Alligator mississippiensis: one gene and its partner. The protein of the gene in region 1 interacts with the protein of each later gene in a pairwise test. Links are inferred from orthologs where the notes say so. Each region holds a gene or a part of one and is shown on either strand. Other genes may lie near its edges.

Region 1 (6,854 bases):
ACATACTTGTCAAAACCCTTCTTGTCACCCTTCATATCCCTTGCTAACTTCAATTTCAATTGCACTTTGGCCAGTGGCGTACCGTGGGTCTCCTGCACCCGGGGGCCAATTCTTACATTTGCACCCCCTCCCTCCCCAGTCCACGGCCAATCACCGAGTGAGGAGGGGGATCCCCCAGGGGTCAATCACCAAGCCTGGAAACCGGAAGTGCCGGTGCGGGGCCAAGTTGCCTCGACCCCCACCCAGCCAGCACCCAAGGACATGCCCCGCCCCCCGTCAGTACACCACTGGCTTTTCTCTTCCTGACTTCATCCCTGCATGCCCAAGCAATGCTTTTATATTCTTCACTAGTTATTTGTCCAAGTCTCCACTTCTTAGAAGCTTCCTTTTTGTGATTTAGTTTACTGAAGAGTACCCTCCTAAGCCAAGCTGGTCTGTCATACTTGCTAGTCTTCCTGTACATCAGGATGGTTTGTTCCTGCACTCTCAGTAAGGCTTCTTTAGAGTGCAGCCTAGACTCCTCTTCCCCTCAGACTGGCTTCCCAGGGGATTCTGCCCAGGAGTTCCCTGAGCGAGTTGAAGATGCTTTTCTGAAGTCCAGAGTCCTTATTCTGCTGCTCTCCATCTTTCCTTTCTTCAGGACCCTGAACTCAATCATCTTGTGGTCACTGCTGCCCAAGTTGCCATCCACTACTACATTCCTTATCAATTCTTCCCTGTTCGTGAGCAGCGGGTCAAGAAGAGCACAGCCCTACTTGGCCGCTTCAGTACTTGCACCCGGAAGTTGACCCCAACACTCTCCAAAAACTTCCTAGAGTGCCTGTGCACTGCTGTATTGCCCTCCCAGCAGATGTCAGGGTGATTGAAGTCCCCCATGAGAACCAGGGCTTGTGATCAGGAAACTTCTGCTAGCTGTTTGAAGAAAGCCTCATCCACCACTTCTTCCTGGTCTGTTGGTCTATAGCAGACCCCCAACACAACATCACCCTTGTTGCTCTCTCCTCTTACCCTAACCCAGAGGCTTTCAACAGGCCTATCTCCAGTTTCATACTGGATCTGTGAAGAATCATATGGCTCTTTCACATACAGCGCAACTCCTGCTCCTCTTCTCCCCTGCCTGTCCTTCCTGAACAGTTTGTACCCATCCACAAGTATCTTACATATAAATTGACAAATGGGCCACAGAAAAAAAATCATTACATCTGTCAGTCAAAAGATATGAAAGACAAAGACTGAATCTGCCTTCGTGAAACACAGATCTGTGAAATGCCAAATATATCTGAGAAAAATAAACCACCACTACCATAGAATTGATTCTTGCCATGGAAGTCCAAAACATGAGAGCAGTAAAATTTTTGTAATTTTCCAGATTATATAGACTTTGCTGCAAATGGCTTGGGAAATGGACATCCTCTAATTTCAGGAAAGGAATGTTTTATTTTTCTGAGTCTTTGTACCAGGAATTGGTCATTAAATGTTCACAGAATATCTAGGTTTTCCAAGGTCAGAAAAGGTCATTGTGATAATTTCGTCTGAACTCCTGTATAACACAAACCAGAAAATTCCACCCGGTAAGCCCTGTATTGCTCGGGCTGAGTTCTACCAGATCTTCTTAAACTCTTCAGGTTGATGATTTCTTATGCAAAGTCATGACCCCCTTTAATTTATGATAAAAGTAAAAGTAAAAAGTATGTCAGTGAGAACAGTGAATTTATACAATTTATCTGGGCAAGGTTGTTTCAAATAAATTTGTTCAAGGGCAAGTGTGTAGGAAGTACAGGAGTGAGATTTTCTTTACATTAAGTTGCAGCATTTTTTTTTCCAAGACCTCATGGCCTATCTGACTTTCTTCAAGAGTTGTGACCACTGGTTGAGAAACCATAAGCTACAGCAGGGGTGTCAAACTCAACCTGTGCCACAGGCTGAATGTGGATCCATGGGACAAGTGGTGGATGTGGCAGGGCTGGAGGCAGCAGCAACACAACCAACAGTTGCAGAGGTGATGGGGCAAATGGCCCTTTGTGACAATTAAGGACAGTGCAAGTGGTGGTGACAGTGGACCAACTGACTGGGGGGCAGTGTCAGCACAGCCCTCCCTCACCCATATCCAACAGCGCCCCCAATTCTGTTGTAGGCCCTACTCCCCACTAACCACGTCCTCAAATACTCTGGCCTGTCTCTAGACAGATGGAACAGTTCTTTGGGCCAGACCTGTCCTGCAGGCTGGATGACTGACACTCCTGAATTAGAAAGACATCCCATCTTGATTTGAAACCTTTGTGATGGAAATTGTTCCAAACATTAATTAAACTTCACTTTTAAAAATGTGCACCTTATTTCCACTTCCAAGTTGTCTGGCTTTGACCTTCATCCTCCAGATCTTGTTACAACTTTGCTAAATTTAAGAGATGTCTGCTTTCAGACATCTCCTGCCTGATGACTACAATCAAGTCTCCTCTTAGCCTGATTTTGGATAAAACAGACCAAGCTTCTTGAGCCCTTTCTCCAAGGCAGTTCTCCAAGACATCAGAGCATTCTGACAATTCTTTCCTGAACTCTTCTTCTATTTTCAACCCTTTTAAAACGTGGAGACAGCAAAACTGGCCAGAACGTGCCAGTAACCATTACACTGACACTATACAGGAAGACAACACCACCTTTCTGCTACAGCTTAAAACTCCTCTGTTTAGGCATTCAAGGAATAGTGCATGAGGGTGTTCATTGCAGAACTACAGTGGGGGCTGGTGTTCACAAGTTATCTGAGCCCTTGAGCCCTGTCATTGCTCCTCAGGATGCAGCTCCACCCACGGGTGGATCTAGAATTTGGAACCGGGGTGAGCTGTGTCTTCACACATAAAGCAATACATATTTTCCACCAATTAAACTAGAAGCTTTACTAATGTGCTAGGAGCCCAGGGCTGCAGTATTCAGTTTAAGATTACAGTGAAAACAAATATAATTTCATTCAAATGAGTTAAAAACAATCTGCAGGGCTGTGAAATAGGAGCTTCCGGACAATGAGCAGATAACAGCAGAAGTGCAGAACAAAGGATTCAGAGATTCAGAGATGTTAGGGGCTGGAAGGGACCTCATGAGATCACCCGATCCAGCTCCCCCACACTTGGGCAGGAAGGCCTGCTGGGGTCATCACTTAACTGGTGGAACATCAAGACCATTAAAAAGAAGAAAGCAACCTTAACACTGGTGGCATGAAGAGTTTAGAAGGGTAGATTATGATGGGTATATGATGTATTTATTATTATTATTATTATTATTATTGAAAGGGTAAGTTATACCGAGCCACGAAGTCATTGACTCCCTCAGCGCTACCTGACTAGGCATGCTACTGCCACTGCCAAAAGGAATCAAAGGTCCTGGCAGAGGTGATATCTTTTGTTAGACCAACTAGATATTTGCACCAAAAAAAATTTTTTTTAATCTTTATTTGCAAGCTTTCAACACATTTGGGGTGGAGCAGGAATCAAAGGGGGTTGTAACGCACCCCCTGGATCTGCCTCTGCCCCCCTCCCCTCAGCCCTGCTGGCTTCACTGAAGCACCCCCTGGGGGAAAAGCGGGGGAATAAGAGGCAAGGGTTTGTTAAGGTGGCATCTTTTATTGAAACAACCAAATACCGCAAATCGAGTCGGAAAAACAAGCCCTGTCCTTAATCTCAGCCCCTTCAAGAGGTGGAGACACCGGAAGTGGACGCAGGTGGCTTTTAACCACGCCTGCTTGGAGGGGCGCCTGGGCGGAACTACCACTCCCATGATGCATTCCTCTAGCGGCTCCCTCCCGCGCATGCGCAGAGCAGGGTCGACCCAGTGGAGTCGGTTTTGCTTCCGGCAGGCGGAGGTCAGAGGCTGGAAGTCGTTTCTGGCCTCTGCCCCGGGGGATGGACGAGGACGGGCTGCCCCTGGTGGGCTCCGGCATCGACCTCACCAAGGTGCGGGCTCGAAACGCAAGTGTTCGTGGGCTGAAGCCCACTTCATCAGATGCTGCAGCGGGAGGTGCTCTTCTGCTCGAAACTGAGCAGGTTTCCCCATGTAGACTTTCGGGTGCAGACCATTTCAGGTGGCTGCGCCTGGGGTCCTCTGCGGGCAGGGCCTTGGTAGTCCGAAGGCAGGCAGGAGGCAGGGTAGATCAGGCACCTTGTAGGCTATGGGAAGCTCGTGCTGTAGCTGTCTGTGTGTTGTGGATAGCCTGTGAGGTGCCAGCGTACTCTGCCTTCTGCTCTCCTGCCTGAAAGACTAACCAAAGTGGGTGGACGGATGTGGAGATATCTGTGTGTATATCGCAAGCTTTTGTGGACTGAAGCTCACTTCATCAAAGCTGTGACAAGAGGTGCTCAAAGCTGAGCAGTGTAGATATTCGCAGGAGTTCAGGGCTGGAAGGGACCTGGTGACATCAGCGGGTGCAGCCCCTGCCCCGGGGAGTCCACCTGCTGTGCCTGGTGCCGTCTGTGAGCAGGGGAGTGTTGGTCTGCAGTCCAGGAGAAGGCAGGGTAGATCAGGCACCTTATAGACTAGCCAAAGTAGGTAGATAGAGATAGTACAAGCTATGAACTTCTACAGTTAAGAGGAGGATATTAACTGATCTGTTGATCTTGGAGTTCAAAGTGTAAGGGGCCGAACAAGGTGGTAGTTAAGAAATTCTCTTTAAAGAATCACTTTTGCAAAACATGCTTTCTCTTTCCCAAATGCCTCTTTTCTTTTCTACCTCTGAGCAGTTTTGGCACAAAAAGAGCTGTCAGCAGTAAGTCCTCTGCTGCAAAAGCAGAATGCAGCAGAATACTTCATCTATTAATACTTTCCATGTAAAATTTTACTGTTTAACAAAGTAGTATTTCTCAAGTCGGTGTAGCTTTTATTTAATTTCAGGGTTCCTTATGAACTGCGAAACAGAATGCAGAACAGTTCAGATTGATTGTGGGATCCAGTCATCTCCCAGGTGTTCCTGGGAGGTGTTAAACCCAAGAGAAATATAAATATTTGCTATCCAATTTTTTTGTGAAATTGCTTGGGTTGTGGGTAACACAATGCTAAACAGAACTACAAAAGTGGAGGAGTAACTGAATAGGTGATTCCTATATTTGTCTTACACTTTTCAACTTGTTAAATGTGGACTGCTTATGGAACCACCACTATTTTTGCAATAGTCTTAGATGAGATTGGGACATAATCATAGTATTTTGATTCAGCTTTGTGTTCATATTCTCTCATTTTTACCCAAAGGTTGAGACTTTACAATATTGTTTATATTGCAGTAGCATTTGCAGGTCCAAATCAAAGCCTTATTGTACCAGATGCTGTACATCTAAGAAAAACAGAAATTCAGTGCCTCAGAAACTTCCCATTTTGGGCCTAAGTAAACATTTGCATGAATAGTTAATCCTTCTCAAAATACATAGAACCAAATGGTTCACAAGGTTAGGTTTCTTAGCCCCCTGCGAAGTGGCTGGGATTATATACAGCTGCTGCAAACAGCAGCGTGGGACTGCTGCAGTACTCCAGCTGTGGGCCATGTCTTTTATTTGAAGGGGTACTGCTTCTCTCGTCATCTGCTTGGGACTGTTGATGAGGTCTAGCTGTGTGGAGAAGTGGCACCCTTTAATATAAAAGCTGCAGCAAGCAGCTGCACGTGTGTCCTTCACTTAGCCTTCTGACAGTCAAGTTGCTATCTGATGAAATGATGAGCTCTTGCTCACACAAGCTTATACAGTATAAACTCATAAATCCGACGTGCTTGGGGTTGAGCACTTGCTGGAAATTTGAAAACGCTGGATTTTTTTGAACTGGCGTGATAGCCGGTCGCGGAGCAGGGGCGAGGGTAGCGGCAGCTGGTCCCAGAGCAGCGGCCACACATGGAGCAGTGGCACACTGTGGTGAACGGCGGAAGCAGCCACCATCTACAGACTTCTCCCTCCATGTCCAGGAGGGTGGTGGGCAGTGCCAGATTTTTGATCATTCCAGATTTTTGGTATCCAGATTTATGAGCTTATACTGTACTTCTGTCATTCAGTTAGTTTATACAAGTGATTTTCAACCAGGTACCACAGCACCCTGGGGTGCCTTGAGATCCTTTCAAGGGTGCTGTGAGGTGCCACACAGCACTGCTAGGTGTGCAAGCATGCTTCACAGTATAAACCCAGAGATTTCGAACAGGAATCCATAGTATTAAAACAGTTCTGCCCTGCTGTGGTCTTTCAGAGTTCTTTGTAACAGTAGAATTGATCTACTGTTTTTCTGCATTGAAAAAATGAGTGAAAAATAAGAGATGGCATTTTCTGAAGGTGCCTTGTGTCTAACTAACAAAGTGCATCTCTACCCTGCCTTCTGCCTGAGTTCAAACTAACATGGCTAACAACTGCTTTCTATTCCCAATTGTAACTAGATACTAGTTTATGTAAATGTACTTAATTTCCCCAGTACTAAGACCCAAAGGGAGAGACCCTGATCCACTTCCTTTTAGAGTTAGATTTTTATTTTACTGTGTTTTACGATGACTTTCAGAAAATTGCTTTTAGGTTAAAACATTCTCTTTTGTGATGAAAACCTCTTTGTTTATTCAGGTGGTATTCCCTTGTCTCTACACTCACACTTAGAAGATTAAAATATTGATTGATTTTTTTTTTTTCATGTTCCTATATTCATGGTATAGTTAGGACAAATGATTAAAATATTTTCTTAGCCTCTTTCATATAAACTTCAAAATCGGGTCTTGAATACAAGGGTAAGAATTGGAAATGCATGTTTTCTGCGTGTAAACTTTGGGGTTTTTTTTGTTTTGTGTAACATAGGTTCCAGCTATTCAGCAGAAAAGAACTGTGGCATTTCTGAACCAGTTTGTGGTTCAT
Region 2 (6,867 bases), on another chromosome or scaffold:
GATGGCCTGACTGGAACTACTGCAGCTGAACTGCTGATTGGGCATATCAAATCCATTTTTGCTAGTCATGGTTTGTCTGACGCGAATGTCTGACAACGGCTTGCACTGGAGTTTAAGCCATTTGCGACGGAGTGCAGCTTAACATGTAAACACGGACCCATTATCTGGAATCCAACAGGCTGGTGGAAAACGCTGTCAAGATAATGAAGCACTTATTGAAAAAGGCTGCAGTTAAATTAATCACTGTTAAATTACAGAACCCTGCAGACGAAGATCGAGTTGTTACTAGTTGACATTTGTTCAACAGAGAACTGGAAGCAAGCAGGCCTGGGCTGTTAGAAATGGAGGTCAGAATCAGTGGGGAATTGCAGAAGTATTAGAGACAGGAGGCAAACCAAAAAGGTGTGATGATTTGGTGTCCCAGGAGCTGCTGCCATTTAAAGAATGGCCATCTCTGCTTGCAAAGTTACTGCATCCTCAGATGCTCTGCCCTGGGAAGGCTGCCTCCGAAATGACAACAAGCAGACCTGCAGGGTGAGCCCGTCATTTCAGACACATGGAAATGTACTGTGAAGGACCACAAATGCCTTTTCCAACTCCCTGCTGAGTTGACCACAGGGCAACAATAGTAGGTGAGAGAGCTGAACCTCAAGACCTGGCATAATTGGGATGAACGGACTTACCACAGCCTGGCAAGTGCTGCTGATGACTCGGGGTGGACTCATCAATCCATGAGACATTGTGAGGCTCAACAGCGGAGAAGCTAACGGAACAATATTAACAAATTGAGTTCATAGATTGGTTATAAAGTATTTGCCATTCTGTATTATGTTAATGTTGCTTTATTGTTAGTATTGTGTTTGTCTGGGGAAAGAGCTGTAGAGAACTCTGCCTTTAAGAGGTTCAGGCAAGAAACAGTTGGTACAGGCAAACAAGGTGCTTTGGGTAACTCATATCTTTTATTAGACCAACTCAAATAGTTGGAAAAATTCTCCGTAGCAAGCTCCTGGGTTTAAATGCCTATCATCAGGCTGAGGAAGCATCTGCAGTTGGTGCATGCTCTCAAATTCACACCCCAAACCCTTGGACAGTCTCTGGATTCACTGGTGTGCCTGCACACAAACCAATCTTATTGTCTTTCGGTTTGGCATCACTTGGGACACATACAGGTAAAAACAAAAGGCATTAGGCTGAGCAGTAATCGGAGTCAATTAAGTAAGCAATTGCCTAAACAGCATTAAAGAGATCGATAGGAAACAAACAGCAACCAAGCTTTGCCACAAGGACATACAGCAGAAGGACAAAATCATGTCTGCACAGAAGAAAGAGCTGGCAGACGGAGAAATAGTTATATGCAGCGCATCTACACAGATGCTTAGAGACCTTGGTAGAAAGGGATGGATAAGGAGTGTTAGCGATAGACTATGCAATTCAAATGACAATCACAACCCCAGTTTGGTAAACACGTCCTTTAAATAAAAAAAAATTTAAAAAAAATTATTTTTTCTCCATTCCTCAGACCAAGAAACTGTAATTAATTTCGGAAACAACCCACTCATAGATAATGAATCTTGTATTACTTTAACACTGTTGTGATGGTCACCTCCCTAATGGAAATCCCCCTGTCTTCATTTCATGATGGCTTAAGTCGGAAAGATGCTATTAATACAGCACAGCAGCCTGCAGTTGCCTGGAAGGTGCCTTTTGAAGATCACGTGAAGATAATGAGAAACGTCCTGCACTTGCAGGCTCACCACACATTTGCTGGCCACAGTTAACTAGAATCTCTCTTCACAATCACCAAGCCACAAAAATGCTGGCTGTTTTACAAAAGAAAACTATCAATGAGCTAAGGTATCTGCGGCCAGCGGGCCTGTGCCAAGGAAAGCTTCTCCTGCATCTTCTTCCTTTGTGAAATCTTATCCCATGCAGCTTGGCAGCACCTATCCTTATGCCCAAAGATCACGGAATGAAGATGTGTCTGGCACGAATTGCATCTGCTCAAACTGCTCACATTTTCTCCTAGTTTCTTTCCTACACACAATCTGCCATAAATCCCCAAATATGCTTTCAGTTAGTCATCAGTCCCTTACATAACATTTCTGACTTCCACTGCAAATCCATAACGCCGCTGTCCCTACAGCTAGCCCTCCTCAGAATCCAGACTACCTGTAAATGCTTGCAAATCAGGCTTAACTGCTCATTTGTGGTCACCTCCAAAATTAAATAACCCCCCCCCCAAAAAAAAAACCAAAACAAAACAAAAAAGGTGGAGGATTACTTCAGCTCAAACCGTTTGGAGTCTGGAAAATATTTATGCTCTCTCCAATTCGTGAAAGTCTTTCTTAAATGCATGAAAGAAACTATGACATCTCCCTATGGGCACAGCTTTTGTTTGAAACAGCACAACAAGCAGCAGGATTATGGCTAAGCTTAATGCTTTGCAAAAATAAATTAATAAAGATTTAACATCTTCACTTCTTCCTATGAGATTTTGCCACTCCTCACTAGTTATAATTAATACTCTGCCTCCTACTACCCAAAACAGGGCTTATTGTCTGAACAGAAACACTATGGATGCCTTTGCATTTCAGATCCTGCTTCCAGCTGCAACAGCACCTCTGGCTTCAGAACCACCCCATTTTCCTGTATATAAAACCCCCAATATAGCTTACACCCTATTTTTGAAAGGCATCCTGAAGAAAAAAAAACACACACAAACTGCCCAGGGTTATGGGTGCACAGAGGCTAATCTTCAACCCACTCAGCCTCCCTTTCCTGCATAACTAAAGCCCTAGATAAAGCCAGGTCTCCATGGGTGGATCTCTGAGCTTTAAAAGAGCCAGACAGTGGGTCCAACTGCACAGTTACTGCACGGTCATTTGGCGGCTGCGCAGTAACCACCATTATTTTGTAGTCCCGGCAGCGCATGGGTTGTTTCCGACCCTACTGAGCAGTACCAATGAACTACTTGTTGCTTGTTGCTGCTGCAAAATAGCATCAGAGTCAGGGTTTCGTGCCCGCCAACACTAGGTCGCCCTCGCATCTTGTGTAGATGCGCTCCCTGTGAAATAGATGGCATGATCCCCCTAAGAAAGCTGAGCTTCATTAGTAACCAGAACTCATGGTAGAGCTCACGTCTTTTATTAGACCAATTAGAGTTTTGCAACCAAAAAAACCCAACTTTAATTGCAAGCTTTCGATTGCAAGCTTGCAATTAAAGACATTTTTTGTTGTGGCAAATATCTACTTGGTCTAATAAAAGATATCCCACCTCTACCACGAGTTCAGATTACGGTTTTCTCTAGATGAATACGTCTGCACCCCAGATACCTGAGCTTCATTCGTGGTACTTCCGGACCCTTAAAAAGGCGAGATTTCTACAACCTATTCAAATGGCAGTCGTTGCTCAATTTTGCAGGCCTGTTTTAGGGAATTTAAAATACAGAGGTCAGAAGTAAGGGAACACGGGAGTACGTGGAGCGCAGACCCACGCAGTGGCGAACTATGGGTGTGAACTCAACAGTGCCATGACTCCATCAGCTGCCTGAAGAGCAATTCCAGGGCTGCTGCTGCTCAGATGGGTAAACATTAAAAACAAACAAACAAACAAACAAACCCCTTGCTGGCTTCATAGGCCACCCCCACATTTAATTCTTATGTTTTTGGAAGGAGGGCTGATTGGCAGGGAGGAAATATGCGTGTTTCTACTAGACAATACGGTAGGCATCACTGTCTTTTGTACTCTCTGAACAGCGAGGACTACATTCCCCACAATGCCCCTCGCGCCGGGCCAGGACGGGCAAGGGAGGGCTCTCCTCTCGCGAGATTTGGGCGCGGCCCGGAAGTGCCCGCGCCTTGGAGACGGGAGCGGGACGCGGCGCGCATTGACGGAACCGACGCCATGGCTGAGACCGACCCCAAGACCGTGCAGGACCTGACCGCCGTGGTGAGGCACTTACCTGGGGCCGCGGCCGTGGGCGTCGCCTCTGGAGCAAGAGCCAAAGGGACGACCGTTAGGGGCGGGGCCGGGCGGCCGTTGGGGGCGTGGTCTGGGGGATGGCATCAGGAGCAGCGGTGCGCATGCGCAATGCGGGCTGCCAGGGCACAAGGGCCTGGAGGGGTGACGTCAGGAGCAGGGGTGCGCGTGCGCATTGCGGGCTGCCAAGGTGCAAGGGCCTGGGGGGTGACGTCAGGGGCAGCGGTGCACATGCGCAGTGCGGGCTGTTAGGGCACAGAGTGCCTGCTGCTGCCCCCTACTGGCAGGGAGGTGGGGAGGCAGGTACCACAGCACAGGGGAGGAGCTGGGCACTGAGTTCGAGTGTTCCCAGTGTCGCGTCACAGGAAGCTGGGCCCCCCAAAAGCCCAGCGACATCTGGACAGGGCTGGATGCGGCTGCACAGCCTGCATTTTCCAACCCGGCGGTATCCCCGCAAGCTGGATGCTTGTCCCCGCCGGCTGGACTTGCGGCTGAGCGCCGCCGTCATAGAGCTCGAGCTCCCTCATGCTCTTGTGTCTCGACGTCCCCCTGTTGGCGTAGCGGTGGGGAGGATGGGGCTGCCCCACGGCTTCAAGCAGGGTTGCGGAGCTGCCCGGCCAGCCGTTCTCAGCCTTTTTAGGCTCGAGGCACCCCCTGGGAATTGCTTGCTTTTAACTTTTCACGCGGTTTTTGACTATGGGTGGATAATAGCAAGTTTCAGGTTCTCGGACATTTGAGGCTGGAGGGGACACCTCGCGAGATCGTTGGGTGCCCCGGCCCAGCGCATGTCCGCCGGGGTCAAATAGCCCCGGCCCGGCGCGCCTCTGCCGAGTAACCAGTGCGCGCCTGGGCTCCTGTGACAGAGCGCTCTGCAGGACGTGACGGGGCCGAACGTTTTAACGCTGTGGATCCCTACGTGAAAACTCTGGTTTCGTCAAATGTTGGCTCACGTAACTGTGGTAACGTCAGGCGACATGCTGGCAGCACCCTTGGAAGGATATCAAGGCACCTGGTTCAGAGTTACTGCACTAGGCTAAAGAAGTAGAAAGAGGGGATATTCGGATGAAAAGTTTGAAAGCGATGCTTTAAACTTAAGCCTTTCCCTGTGTTTTAGGTACAGACATTGCTTCAACAGATGCAAGACAAATTTCAGACCATGTCTGACCAGATCATTGGAAGAAATATCCTTTTTCGTACTCGTGCCTCTCTGGGTGCGCGTCAAAGATATTTGCAAACTTTTATGTCCATCAAACGCTTATCTTTGCAGCTCGGGTTGTTACCGTTAGCCGTCCCGAGTGAAGTTATATGCAAGGAAATAAGAGTGTAAATCATGTACAGTTCATTTTCTTTAACTTGAGTTAACTTGATGACATGAGCTGTCGCATTGATGACCTGGAGAAAAACATAGCCGACCTCATGACGCAGGCAGGAGTGGAAGAACTAGAAGGAGAGAACAAGACGCCTGCTCCTAATAAGAGCTAAAGTGAGTGACTTGATTCGCTTCCCAAGTGAACTCTTCTCCCTAATGATGTAAACAGCAGAACTGGCATTGACTTTAAAGGGGCCAATTTTTCATGCTCATTTGTGAGGCAGACTGAAATTCAAATAGAGCAATTATGAAATGCTGTAACAGGAATTTGTATCTTGTGCAGTGAATGCTAGGATATTTGTTTGTGATCTTTAGGAAGCTCCTACCAACTTGTTCAGGCAGGACGGCTGCTTCAATGACTAGAGGCATGGAGTATTAAAAACTGGAAACTGAGAAAAATACGACGTAGGAAGAGTGCAGACTGGTGTGCACAGCCTCTGCTCACGCAGCCTGACATCACTTGTACAATTAATGTTTATTCTGACTAATTGGAGTTGCGCTGTTGTTGCATTTAATTTCACTGACTCATTTCTGCCAGTCTTCCTAGCAGTGTCACTGTTTGTTGCCCAAAAATAGAAACTGGGCAACAACCAGCTGCTTCGTCAGCTTTATAAGCATACTTTCATCAGCTTTATAAGGTATGGGTTCTGGCATGAGACTCCATTAAGAAAAATCTTTGGACTAGTCCAAGTTTGCAGATCATAGTGAAGTGATGCAAGTCCTATACACAGGGTGTGCCTATGCTGGATTAGTGAGGTCAGTTTTGCTTGTGAGATTTCACTTAGTTCAGTGAAAAATTGACACAAGGTGATTTTATTTTTTTTATTTTTTTATAATTGTTGTTGGCCTTGAATATAGGAAAGTCCCAGTGTTCCCCATAGAGCAGTGGTTTTAAGGAAACTGGTTTTAAGCAGTTTTAGAAGAACCTTAAAATTGGGGACAGAACAAAATATCTTTTTCACTGTATCATCAGCCCTCAGCCCACACTCCCAATCCACATTGTACTGTCTTGTCTGCTGGAAGGGAAGATTTTACTTTGAATTCTTACATGTTCATCTTCTCCAAATATGACAGTGAAATATGTGGGCGGATGAGGGTTTTGATCCTGCAAACTTCTATTCAGGTGTTTAACTTTATATTCTTGGCATTCTTGTTAGTAAAATTAAGGTCTTGCAGTTTAGATTAGTATGATCTTAATTGCACCAAAGTTTAGCTTTATTCTTCATATTCAATCATGCTTAAATTCCTACTGGGACCTTGCAATTGCATAAACGTGGAAGTTTCACACTTGCCAATCTCTCTTCATTTAAATGGGGGGGGGGGGGGGTGGAGACTGGCTGCCAGCTTACCTTCTTTGTGTTCTACTAGCTTTGTGCAATATTTCTGTTGACTGTACTTGTCTAATCAAATTCTTATTTGCAATAATCTTTTATCTTCCTCAACAGGTTGCCAATAAATTAGGATGAATGCTGGGATACATTTTTTACAAGCCCATGGGATTACAGAACAGCTTTTTGCA

Evidence for each region. The genes of interacting proteins can lie anywhere in the genome.
Region 2: the proteins of WASHC3 (region 1) and HSBP1 interact in binary tests that used the Homo sapiens proteins (3 or more experiments, as listed by UniProt). The two-hybrid records come from large-scale screens. The link is inferred for Alligator mississippiensis from reciprocal best matches to the Homo sapiens genes WASHC3 and HSBP1.

The regions. Positions count from the first base shown.
Region 1 is NC_081827.1:107,401,562-107,408,415, forward strand, and holds the start of WASHC3 (WASH complex subunit 3), read left to right. Parts: upstream 1-3,833; 5' UTR 3,834-3,893; coding exon 3,894-3,944; intron 3,945-6,797; coding exon 6,798-6,854. UniProt on the Homo sapiens protein: Acts as a component of the WASH core complex that functions as a nucleation-promoting factor (NPF) at the surface of endosomes, where it recruits and activates the Arp2/3 complex to induce actin polymerization, playing a key role in the fission of tubules that serve as transport intermediates during endosome sorting.
Region 2 is NC_081833.1:72,035,947-72,042,813, reverse strand, and holds the start of HSBP1 (heat shock factor-binding protein 1), read left to right. Parts: upstream 1-3,841; 5' UTR 3,842-3,904; coding exon 3,905-3,949; intron 3,950-3,962; exon of another isoform or gene 3,963-4,134; intron 4,135-5,093; coding exon 5,094-5,160; intron 5,161-5,342; coding exon 5,343-5,461; 3' UTR 5,462-5,462; intron 5,463-6,793; 3' UTR 6,794-6,867. UniProt on the Homo sapiens protein: Negative regulator of the heat shock response. Negatively affects HSF1 DNA-binding activity. May have a role in the suppression of the activation of the stress response during the aging process.